Linked DNA regions of Macaca mulatta. The protein of the gene in region 2 purifies or fractionates together with the protein of the main gene of each other region. This does not show direct contact. Links are inferred from orthologs where the notes say so. Each region holds a gene or a part of one and is shown on either strand. Other genes may lie near its edges. The genes, in order: RAP1GDS1, RHOC and DAAM1.

Region 1 (3,647 bases), on a different chromosome or scaffold from region 2:
CATAAAAATTATGATATTGTCTGTTACCCGCTTATACACAAATAGGATACAGACACACACATAAACAACTGAATTCCATTCTTAAAATTGACAAAAAAGTGACAGAATTGTTTCTAAATGGAAAAATATAACATGGATCTTAAAGACACTCAATAAACCTGTATTGAATTGAATGTTTATCAACAGGAATGCTAATACCATTTTAACCATAGTCTCTCTTTTTCTACAGTTATAAATAAAGCAAAGATGTTATCAGCTGGGGTCACAGAGACAGTTTTAAAATTTCTTAAATCTGAAATGCCCCCTGTTCAGTTCAAACTTCTGGGAACATTAAGAATGTTAATAGATGCACAAGGTAAAAGAAATGTTTTCCCCAACTTGCATTTTTGGTATGATAGTCTTAATGTGCTTCTAGTTGAAAAAAGACTTGTTTCTCGCTTTCAGGATTATGTAATCATAAAAAATAGCAAATAAAAGATTAAAAAATTAGTTTTGGAACTCCATTTGTTAATTTTTGTGCTTGTTATAATTGACTATTTATTTATTTATAACTATTATTTATTTATTTTTGAGACAGAGTCTTGTTCTGTCACCCAGGCTGGAGTGCAGTGGTGTGACTTCAGCTCACCGCAACTTCCACCTCCTGGGTTCAAGCAATTTTCCTGCCTCAGCCTCCTGAGTGGCTAGGATTACAGGCATGCTCCACATCTCCTGGCTAATTGTTTTTGGAATTTCACTAGAGATGGGGCTTGTTGCCCAGGCTGCTCTTGAACTCCTGGCCTCAAGCGATCCTCGCACTTCAGCCTCCCAAAGTGCTGGGATTACAGGTGTGAGCCACCACGCCCAGCCTATTATTGACTTTAAGTAGAAATTATACCATATCTCTCCTTATTAATTCTTATAATCCTGGTTTTAGTTTGCTTTATTATCAATTTCGGGGGAGGGCGTTGTGTTTTGGCATTCTATACCCATTTTCACCTTGGCTTTGAAATCAAATTTCATTATTGTGACAGTCAAAAATCTTAAAAATTTGTCTTGTGGCAGGGAGAGCATTTTTCTATTTGCAGAAACAGCAGTCAGAACCACTCCTAGGAATGAATTATGTTTATTTACTTATTTCTAAATTCTAAAGCCTTTTCTATATTGATTGCATAGAGTCCTTCTAAGAACCCTGCATTATAGTCTGCCAGAGCACTAACAGACTAGCAGGCTTAACCAAAAGAGTATGAAATCATTTGTTTTTGTATTTTCTATAAAATTTCACAATGTTACAGAAAAAGGCAAATAGCCCATCACATAAGGAATATTTGCAGTTCTAGCTTTAATGAAATTGTTGTGCTGTGTTTTTTTAGATGTATTTCTCCTTCACACTCTTAAATCTTTACGAATTACTTCAGCTGATTGTCTGTTAGTGATTCATTCCTTGGTTTGCCTTCTTTCCTATAGCAGAAGCTGCTGAACAACTGGGAAAGAATGTTAAGTTAGTGGAGCGTTTGGTGGAATGGTGTGAAGCCAAAGATCATGCTGGTGTGATGGGGGAGTCAAACAGACTGCTGTCTGCCCTTATACGACACAGTAAATCAAAAGTAAGTTCCAGAGGAAACTGTTCACTAGAAAACTTCAGAGCGTCTTTTTCAGAAACCCAGCATTGTAGGTCCTAACAACTGGGATAATATTTACCTGAAAGTATTGTGAAGATTCAGTGAGATCATGTGTATAATGTGCTTAGCTGGTACATGGGATATAGGAAACACTCAGTAAATGGGGGTTGCTGTTGCTGCTGCTATTGTTGTTATTACTTTTACCACCACCATTACCAGCATTAGTGTCAAACATTTCTTTGTGCCAGGCATTGACCATGCAGGCTACTGATATTTAGAATTTAGAAATTAAATGATATCTAGATAGTATATGATGTCCAGAGCTCACAGAGTTAGAAAAAAATCCATTCTTGTGACTGTGCAGCTTTCTGGCACATGGTAGATAACCAATAAATGAACAGATGAGCTGTTTCAAAGATCACAATAGTGAGTACCCAGGCCAGCAGTTCAGCAGCTGATTTAGTATCTAGATTATATGATTTTTAAATTTTTTAAATACTGTTTTTTTCTTTTCTTTCTTTTTTTTTGAGACTGAGTCTTGCTCTGTCGCCCAGGCTAGAGTGCAGTGGTACAACCTCGGCTCACTGCAACCTCTACCTCCCAGGTTCAAGCAATTCTCCTGCCTCAGCCTCCAGAGTAGCAGGGATTACAGGCAGGCGCCACCACCCTCAGCTAATTTTTGTATTTTTAGTAGAGATGGGGTTTTACCATGTTGGCCAGGCTGGCCTCGAACTCCTGACCTCATGATCCGCCTGCCTCGGCTTCCCAAAGTGCTGGGATTACAGGCATGAGCCATCATGCCCAGCCTTTAATACTGTTTTCTAAGGTGACCCTTTCAGTCATTTCTCTTGTACAACTTCAGTAGTGATTATATATGAGGAGAAAGTTTAGAACTCAAACCCACCAGCTGTTTTCATTTATTTTTAGAACAGATAAGAAGATGCCAAGAGAAAAAGCATAAAACTAAAACTGTTCTTGACTTGTATAAATCTCTTTCATATAAATAATTCACTTCACCATAATAGCCATCCCAGCTGGTTAGCCTCAGGAGTGTTCTTCTCCATCAGATGCTAAATCTTGAGAACTTTCCCTGGGGAAAAGCAGCTGTTAACTAGGACCTTCCTATTACCTGTCTCACCCAGACCACCCTAAAATCTTATACATTTTCCCTGACACAGGACCAAGTAGTATGTTGGCAAAGCGAAAGTTATCAAGAGAGAATAGCAAAATGGCTTCGTTGGTACCCCTTTCACCCCTTCTCCATCATAACTGTTCTCTCATGCCCATTTGTTCATTTAACAGTTAATATTTGAGTTCTTGCAGTGTAAATACTACAAAATAGTGTTTCTATAAAGGAATTAACTATCTATTGAGGGGACAGACATAAAAACAGCTAGCTTAAGTACAGCATTAAAGCTACATATGCTATTCGGATGTAACAGAGGAAAGAAAGACTAACACACTGTCTGAGTGGTCTGGGATGGTGTCATAGAAGGAGTGCTATTTTAGGGGCTAACTAGGAATCTCTCAGGAGGAAAGGGAAAGAGAATGAAGGAAAGGGCCTTTTCAGGCAAAGACGACAGGATGTACAAAAAGTACAGAGATGTAAAACAGCATAATTTTAGAAGGAAACTGCAAATAAAGCAGCATTGCTAGAACATAGAGTGTGGAGAGAGACAGTGGCCAGAGAGGTTGAAAACTGGGAATTAAGTGAATTATATGCCAAGTTAAGGTGTATGGACTTGATTCTGTAGAGAATTCTGGAGCACTTAAAGGATTTTAAGCAGCAAGTTGCCATTATTTGGGTTTTTGTTTATTCGGGGTTTTTTTGAGACAGAGTTTCACTCTTGTTGCTCGGGCTGGAGTGCAATGGCACGATCTCCACTCACTGCAACCTCCTCCTCCTGGATTCAAGCAGTCCTCCTGCCTCAGCCTCTTGAGTAGCTGGGATCACAGGCATACACCACCATGCTCGGCTAATTTTGTATTTTTAGTAGAGACAGAGTTTCTCCATTTTGGTCAGGCTGGTCTTGAACTCCTAACCTG
Region 2 (4,246 bases):
TATGTGGACCCAGGTCCATGTAATATGGATTCAATAAATGTTAGCCATCTTGAAATTGTCTGCATTCCTCATTTAGACTCTTAAGTTGTTTGAAGGCAGAAATGGATCTTCCAAACATAGCTCTCAGTTCACCCTCAAGAAATGTTTACTGAGCCAGTTAAGAGGCCTGGGGTCAAACTGCTGTGGACCTCAGTTTTCACATTTGTCAAATGTCTGGATTGCACTTCAGATAAAGTCTGTATGACTCCTAACATTCATTCATTCATCAAATATTTGTTGGCAACCTATTACGTGCCACTCACTGTGCTAGACAACGGGGGAAGGGACAGGCTGGAGGAGCCTGGGAAGTAGCAGGGCCAGACCACCAGTTTGGAGCCAGACAGGCCCGGCTTTGTGAATTCTTGCTGTCACAAGTCAAAAACATTTGTGTAAGCCACTTGATTTCTCTGAGCCTCAGCTTCCCTATGGGCAAAAAGGGATGGGTATATTTTCCCCAAAGATCTGTGATGAATATTGAAAGGGTTAAGCTGTGTAGTGTCCCAAGCACAAGCCAATGAAATGTTGGTGGACGTCCTCATTCTACTCCCACCTCCTCAGCTTCCTTACAGGAAAAGGAGATACGCGTGTAGGTAAGTATCCTATACACCAAGTCAGAACTAGAAGTGGGAACAGAATTCCCAGCTGGGATCCGGAAGCATTTCTAGGAGCACCCTTTGAGGAGTAGGTAGGAATTGGACTCCTGGAAATTCCAGGCCCAGGGAGGAAAGCGAATTGTGAGGAGGAACGCTGGTCTGGGTCTGAACGGCTCTGAGAGGTCTTCAAGTTTGGGGGATGACGTTGGGCTGTACGATCCTAGGAACAAGAGAGTGGACATCTCCCCCAACCAACACACCCACGCCGGGCCCTGGGACGTGCCGGGGGCTGCCCTTTCCCAGTCCCGCCTCCGGAGAGGTCCCAGGTGCAGCAAGAGCTGGTGGCTGATTGGCCACAGGAGGGCAGCAGCGGCCCTTCCTGACCCCACCCCGAGCACTCTTAACTTTCCCGACGCCGGTCCTCCCCTAGGGGCTGGAAGGTTGGGCAGAGTGAGTTCACCCAGGTAGTGCTGGCCCCGCTCGCCCGGCTCCTCCGCAGTCCCGGAATAACCCCGTGGCCCTCCCCTACCTGGCGGAGTGGACGCCCCCGGCCCCAGGCCTGCGGACCAGGGAAGCGGCGGCCGCCCTGCGCGGGGCCGGGGCGGGCCGAGCCAAGGGCCGCCCCCAGCCGACCCTCCCCCTGCCGGGCCCGCCCTCCCCGCCGCGGAGCTGGAGGAGGGCGGGGCGGGGCCCTGGGGTCAGTCTGAGCCTCAGGCACCGGCCGCGCAGCTGGAGGCGGCGGAACCGAAGGTACCCTGGGCCGGGGCTGCGGGCAGCGGGGCGTCTTGGGAACTCGTCCCCGGGAGAGCACTTTGCCTTCCTCTCTGGGCCGGAGATCGAGGCCCGTGCAGGGAGGGGGCTTCGGCCTGGGCTTGGACCCCGTTCCCTCCCTGCGGAGTCGGCATCCGGGCTGGGCGGGGGTCGGCCGCGTCGGCACCTCCCCGGGCTGCAGCGAGGGGGCCCGGACTTGCTGGCAGGGGCTCTCGCCTCCTGAGGTCCGAGTCGGAGCCCCTTCCCCTCTCCTTCCAGCTTCCTGGAACCTGCCCCGCCGGGTGAGGGGCGAGGGAGCCTCAACTCAGACGCTCCAGCCCCCAGGGCGGGCGGCCGCAGGGGACCTAGAGTGGGATGGGGTGGGAATTCCTCCAGGCCAGGAGGGAGGCATGGCGGGAATAGGGGCGGGATGTGACCATTGGGACCTGCCACTGTTCGGCAGGGTCTGGACGCCGCCCTAGACGGTTCCTGGAGCCCGCTTGTGTTGAGGATAAGGGAGATGGGGAAGGATCCAACTGTGTGTGTGTGTGTGTGTGTGTGTGTGTGTGTGTGTGTGTGTGTGTGTGTGTGTGTGTGTGTGTGTGTGTGTGTGTGTGTGTGTGTGTGTGTGTGTGTGTGTGTGTGTGTGTGTGTGTGTGTGTGTGTGTGTGTGTGTGTATCCTGGGGTTTTGGGGCTGGGATCCTGAGGCCGAGTCCCACCCTCACTCTGGTTTTAAAGTTGAGAATGAGGTATCTCCTGGTATCTCCAGAACGGATTCCTTCCCTAGGTGTAGGGTGGGTCAGCAAAGTCAACCGGCCGCTCTGGATCATCTGGGAATTCAAGAGAGCGGTTGGAGAGAGATCTGGTGTATCCACACTGTCTTGTCTTGGGGAAGGCCCCAGAAGTTCCAGGCTCCATTCCAGGACCTGTGTGGGGCTCAGTTGCCCCTCTTAAGGGGTCAGTGGGACAGTCCCTCTGGGGCTGCCTCCCATAGGGAGTTATCCATGCCATCTTGGCCTTGGGCCTAGTGTCCTGGCCTGGCCTGGGCTGCCTGCTGTTCCGGCCCAACCATAGCCTGGAGGGAAGGTCTTCTAATTGAGCTGGAGGCTCCAGGTCCCTTAACGCATGCCTCAACCCCAGGCTTCTGTCCTCTGCCTCTTTCCACTCTGGTGCCATCTGAATTACCCTGCTGGGGGGACAGCAGTGACATACTCATGCCTAAGTGACTGGCTTTCACCCCAGTAGTGATTGCCCTCCAACACTGCCCACCCCAGGGTGGGGCTACCCCAGCCCATCTTTACAAAACAGGGCAAGGTGAACTAATGGAGTGGGTGGAGGAGTTGGAAGAAATCCTAGCGTCAGTCACCTGGATAGAATTCCCGAGGAACCCTCTTTTTGGAGGGTGGTTTCCATTTCTGGAGGCTATCTGCCGGCAGGGTGAAAGCCTTCTTGCTTGTCTTCTGGGGAATCAGAGAGAGTCCATTTTCTGGTGGGAAGAGTGTGGCTGTGTACTTTGAACTCCTGTAAATTCTCTGACTCACGTCCACAAAACCGACAGTTTTGTGAATGTGTGTGGAGGCAAGGGAAGGGCCACCTAGGATCTGCTGTTGAAGGGAACAGGCCTGGGGCTGGAGGATTCGTTTCCTAAAGGGCAGTGTGAGGTGGTGGCGGGGTGTGGGGAGTAGAGGCCTTCAGTCAGCCCAGTTTGACAGGATGTGGGACTGAGAGAAAAAGCTAGGTTTGAAGCCGAGATCAGGTTACCGTCGCTTTCTTAACTGCTCCCTGCCTGGTTGGTGCTGGGACTGGCCCTCATTTGTCTCTTCTTTTGGGACTCCTCCCAACCCAGACTCTAGCCCCCTCCCCCTTCCCAACAGCCTTGACTTCATCTCAGCTCCAGAGCCCGCCCTCTCTTCCTGCAGCCTGGGAACTTCAGCCGGCTGGAGGCCGGTTCCCCTCCCCAGGGAAGGAGGAAGTGAGGGAAGCTGCGAAGGTGTGATGAACTGTGCAGATGCTCGCCGTGTGTGCTGGGGGTGGGGGACACTTGGAAGCCCGGGAAGCTGACTCCTTGCCCTGAGTCACAGGGAGGGGTGGGCAGGGCCTGTGGGTGAGCTGGACCAAGGGAGGAAGGGACTGTTCCAGAGTGGGTGGAGGTGATTCCCTGGTGGATTCTTCTCAGTCACTGTGCTGTGGTGGATGTGTGGCTCCCTACAGTGTGGTCATTGTCCCCTGCCAGGGGCTGAGTGACCCAGTGTTGCTGGCAGGCCCAGGAGGAAGGGGGGAGGAAGGCAGCCTGCCCAAACTCGAGCTGTGGGCACTGCTGGGACTGAGCCTCCTTTGTATGACTTGGGGCTTTGGGGACGGGGTGGGGTGGACCAGGGAAGCTGGCTGGCTGCTGCCCCTGTCCTCTGGGTTTCCCTGCTTCTGCTCTCCTTCCTACCGCTGAGGTGACATGTCGAAGAGGCACGGCTTTGAGTCACACAGTCCTGCTATGGATGCTATCCCTGCCGCTTATAAGCCACAGCTCTGAATCTGTCTTAACCTCATTGAGCCTTAGTTTCCTAGTTTGTCAAAATGGAAAGTACACCATCTACCTCCCAGGCATCTGGGGACCAAAGGAGATAATTCCTGCCAAAATGCCCGACAGAGTGCCTGGCACCTAGGGACTCTGTAACTATTCTTCCTTTACCCACCTACCACCTGGTAGCTGGTTCTGCTACTCTGGTCCTAGAGAGGGACTCCTTATTTGTGACTGGACAGGTATGACTTGTGCTGAGGGACAATCTGTTCTAGATTGGACCTTAGAGATTATTAAACTGTAAATGCATCAAAATCCTGGTAGCCAATGAAGTCTGACTTGAAACCC
Region 3 (3,647 bases), on a different chromosome or scaffold from region 2:
AAAAAATTGCCACTGTTTGGATTGCAAGGCAGTGTAATGAAACGTTCTAGTCACTTTAGAGGGCCGCTAATGAGCTTTCTAAAATAAAGTATTCATGGAAGATTAGAAATTAAGTTTTGTGATTGGTCTCTCTCTGCTGCTGTCAGTCATCTGGTTGGTAATGCGTTTGCGATTCCGTTTCAATTTAGAAAGGTCTTTGTCAAACACTTCTCCTGAGCGTAAAGCTGAAACAAGGTCATCAAACTCTCCGCTTTCTTCACTATTCTCTTTAGCTTTTCTCATTTTACGTTCCCTTTCACGTTGTTCTTTGAGCTGCAAATAGAAAGAAATAACCTCTTAGAAACATGTCAAAATGTTGCATTTTGTTTTCAGTAGAGATGAATTCTGTGAAATATGGTAATGCTCCAGACACCAAGCTGTGCTCATCCTATAACCCCTTTGGATATCACAAGAAAGGGTAATTGGAACATGGAGTCTCCATTGTGGAAGCAATGGACAACAACAAAAAATAACCACTGTCTTGTGGTTAGACCCTCACCACCTAGATTCTAGGTAAACTGCATGATATTCTAGTTAAAATAAGAGCAATTGAGGCAATTTGTGTTTTTGCTAACGAAAAAAAAAAAAAAGGTATCACTATTACATAGACCCCAAATAACTAAAGCAAATGGTCATCAGGCCATTTTCCTTATATCAAAGGCTTAGCTTGCATCTACTGTGGAAGCCTGAAACCTGATACACAACAGTTACTGTTATTAAAAGCCAACTAATACATGCACATTGTAGACAATTTGGATAATTCAGATAAAAGGAAGGTGGGGGAAGCATCTTTAATTCTACTACTGTGAACTTTTTAGAGGTTTATCTCACCACTATTATTTTCTATATGTATTAACATCTTAAGAAACAAAACAGAAAAAGATTTCATGTAGAAATCACTTTGTAAACTTTTCTGTATCATTACTCTTTAAATACATGTCTTTTAAGGACTGCGTAAATATACCATTATATAGTCGTTACATCATTTAGAACTCAAGCCCTATTGGTAAACATTTAGGTTGTCTTTAGCTTGGGGCTATTATAAAGAATGCTGCCCTTTTTTGTGTAAATTTATGATTATTTCTTTAAAATAAATGCCAAAAATTGGAATTCCAGAGCAAAGGATGTGGATAGATATATTTTTTTTAAGGCTTTGAAATACACTGTTAAATAGCCCAAGAGAAACAACACCAATTTAAAATCCCACAGAATTCTAGAGAGTACACTGAAGCCTTCCTTCCTGCCAGCAGGTCAGAGTGCTCTCTAAATACTTTTGACTGGGCTGCAGCCATAGGACTTCTAGGAGGTGGAATTGGTCAATTAATCATCCTCTCACCTGAGCTTCCATGCGAGCTCGACGTTCTTCTTCCTCCTTTTTCTTTCTCATATTTTCATTTTCTTGCTTGGCTTCTGAAACAGCTTGAAGAAACTGATCAAAAATGCCAAAGAACTCATCTGGTTGTATTTTGCCAGCCTCTTCCCCAAAGTGCTTCACTGCTTTAGTGAACTAGAAAAAAGAGGGTTTTAAGAAGTCAATGTTTCATGAGAATTCCATAATCAAATACAAATAACTTTAGAAAGACTAAAGCCCAGATTGAGTCAAGCATAAGTTTTGTTTGCTCATTTATTTTTATTTATTAATTTTTTTTGGAGATGGTGTTTCGCCATCACCCAGGCTGGAGTGCAGTGGCATGATCCCAGCTCACTGCAACCTCTGCCTCTCGGGTTCAAGTGATTCTCCAGCCTCAACCTCCCAAGTAGCTGGGATTACAGGCACATACCACCATGCTTAGCTAATTTTTGTAGTTTTAGTAGAGTAGGGGTTTTACCATGTTGGCCAGGCTGGTCTCAAACTCCTAACCTCAGGTGATCCACCCACCTTGGCCTCCCAAAGTGCTGGGATTACAGGCGTGAGCCACCATACCTGGCAGTTTTTCTTGTTTTGTTTTTGTTTTTAAGAGATGGGGTCTTACATGTTGCCCAGGCTGGAATGCATATGTTATTGGTTTTTTTTTCCCCCCCCCAAATTTATGGAGTCTTACATATTACCCAGGCTGGAGTTTAGTGGCTATTCAAAGGTATGATCACAGCAAACTACAGCCTCAAACTCCTGGGCAATCTTTCCCCTTAAGCCTCACAAGTAGCTGGGACTATAGGCATGTGCCACTGCACCCGGCTAAGTCAAACATAACTGATGGATTCTAGCGAGCCTATATTTATCTTCAGCTGCTGAACATGTCTATTAATCATTTCTAAGTAAAAATTTTAATACTCCTTAGCTTTTGAAACCATTTATTCCTGTCTACCTCAGTTGAGCTTAACATGTATGATGACCTCCTATGACTTTTTATTAACTAAACAGTAGTAAAAACAAAATATTGTAGAGCACAGCACCCCAGACATAAAACTAACAGCAAACTCGGCAGGGGGAGGGAAACTTGTACTTTTAACTTTTCTTTGAAGTAGTTTAAAATCATTTACTAGTGCCATATGGTCAACATAGAAAGCAAATGGGAGCCAGTGCCTCTTAGCTGCTTTTCCCAATCATAAATAATGCTGCTATTGTTGGGATATTTTCAGGGTCTCAATGAGAAAACAGTAACTGAGTATGGAATCTTTAATGCAACCCAGTGTATGACTGAGAATACAATTTTATTCCAAATTCTTTGTTTTAGAACCCCTTTCAATGCCAATCTTTTTTTAAAAAGTTTTTTAAAAAAAGATATGGGGTATTGCAATGTTACATTGCCCAGGCTGGACTCAAACTCCTAGGCACAAGTGATCCTCCTGCCACAGCCTCCTGAGTAGCTGGGACTATGGGTACATGCAACATGCCCCAGTGTCAATCTTTTCAAATGGCCAAAATGCAACATACCAAGGAAGAAATTTATGAAGTTAGATAAAAATATATGTATACAGTAACAATAGTATATCCAGTCTTGTTTTAGTTCTTCCAGAGGTTATCTTCATAACTCAAGGCAGTATGTATTTCAATAGTCTTAGCATTACAACTACCCAAATAATATTCAATGTCAAATTGTTTGTTAAAATTATACTTCCTTCTGTAAGGATCTAATGCTATTACTCCTAAGCTACTAAGGATAGTGTTCCTAGCTTCAAAGTCAAATACATTTTTCCCCATGACCAATCAACTACTTAACATTTTCCAGATTTTAAGTTTTCTTCATATTTAGACCACGCTGTGTTTATGCAGTGCCCCCAAACAGTTTATAATTGGTTTTATTTTTATTGCTTTGTCTTTGTTACACTGTTAGGTTCTTCTGATACTTCAGTGATACTATCTACCTAAAATATTTTCAACATTTATTTTTAAATAAAACAAGTTTTGGCTTATATTTATATATATTTTATAATTACTGTATCTTTAAATTTGTAATAAAAGTGTCCTTTTTACCATTTCTGTCTTCACTGAGGAGTTTTCAATGTTTTACTTATTTGGAAATACTCTATTAGAAAAGAGTTCTTCGGGCAAAAACATAACATTCTTCAGACACCATATATAGTGCTCTAGCTTGCTCCATGGTTTTATATGCTAATTTATAAAAGTTCTGGTATGAACAAAATAGCAATAGACAGTCTACAACCGG

Evidence for each region.
Region 1: the proteins of RHOC (region 2) and RAP1GDS1 purify together in Homo sapiens (co-immunoprecipitation; 3 studies listed by BioGRID and IntAct, counting the BioPlex papers as one, with this or other methods). This does not show direct contact. The link is inferred for Macaca mulatta from reciprocal best matches to the Homo sapiens genes RHOC and RAP1GDS1.
Region 3: the proteins of RHOC (region 2) and DAAM1 purify together in Homo sapiens (affinity purification with mass spectrometry; 3 studies listed by BioGRID and IntAct, counting the BioPlex papers as one, with this or other methods). This does not show direct contact. The link is inferred for Macaca mulatta from reciprocal best matches to the Homo sapiens genes RHOC and DAAM1.

Annotation. Positions count from the first base shown.
Region 1 is NC_133410.1:107,712,650-107,716,296, forward strand, and holds part of RAP1GDS1 (rap1 GTPase-GDP dissociation stimulator 1), read left to right. Parts: intron 1-229; coding exon 230-355; intron 356-1,446; coding exon 1,447-1,586; intron 1,587-3,647. UniProt on the Homo sapiens protein: Acts as a GEF (guanine nucleotide exchange factor) for the Rho family of small GTP-binding proteins (G proteins) that stimulates the dissociation of GDP to enable subsequent binding of GTP.
Region 2 is NC_133406.1:127,552,465-127,556,710, forward strand, and holds the start of RHOC (rho-related GTP-binding protein RhoC), read left to right. Parts: upstream 1-1,332; 5' UTR 1,333-1,382; intron 1,383-3,142; exon of another isoform or gene 3,143-3,373; intron 3,374-4,246. UniProt on the Homo sapiens protein: Regulates a signal transduction pathway linking plasma membrane receptors to the assembly of focal adhesions and actin stress fibers.
Region 3 is NC_133412.1:132,485,392-132,489,038, reverse strand, and holds part of DAAM1 (disheveled-associated activator of morphogenesis 1), read right to left. Parts: intron 1,547-3,647; coding exon 1,376-1,546; intron 313-1,375; coding exon 103-312; 3' UTR 1-102. UniProt on the Homo sapiens protein: Binds to disheveled (Dvl) and Rho, and mediates Wnt-induced Dvl-Rho complex formation. May play a role as a scaffolding protein to recruit Rho-GDP and Rho-GEF, thereby enhancing Rho-GTP formation. Can direct nucleation and elongation of new actin filaments.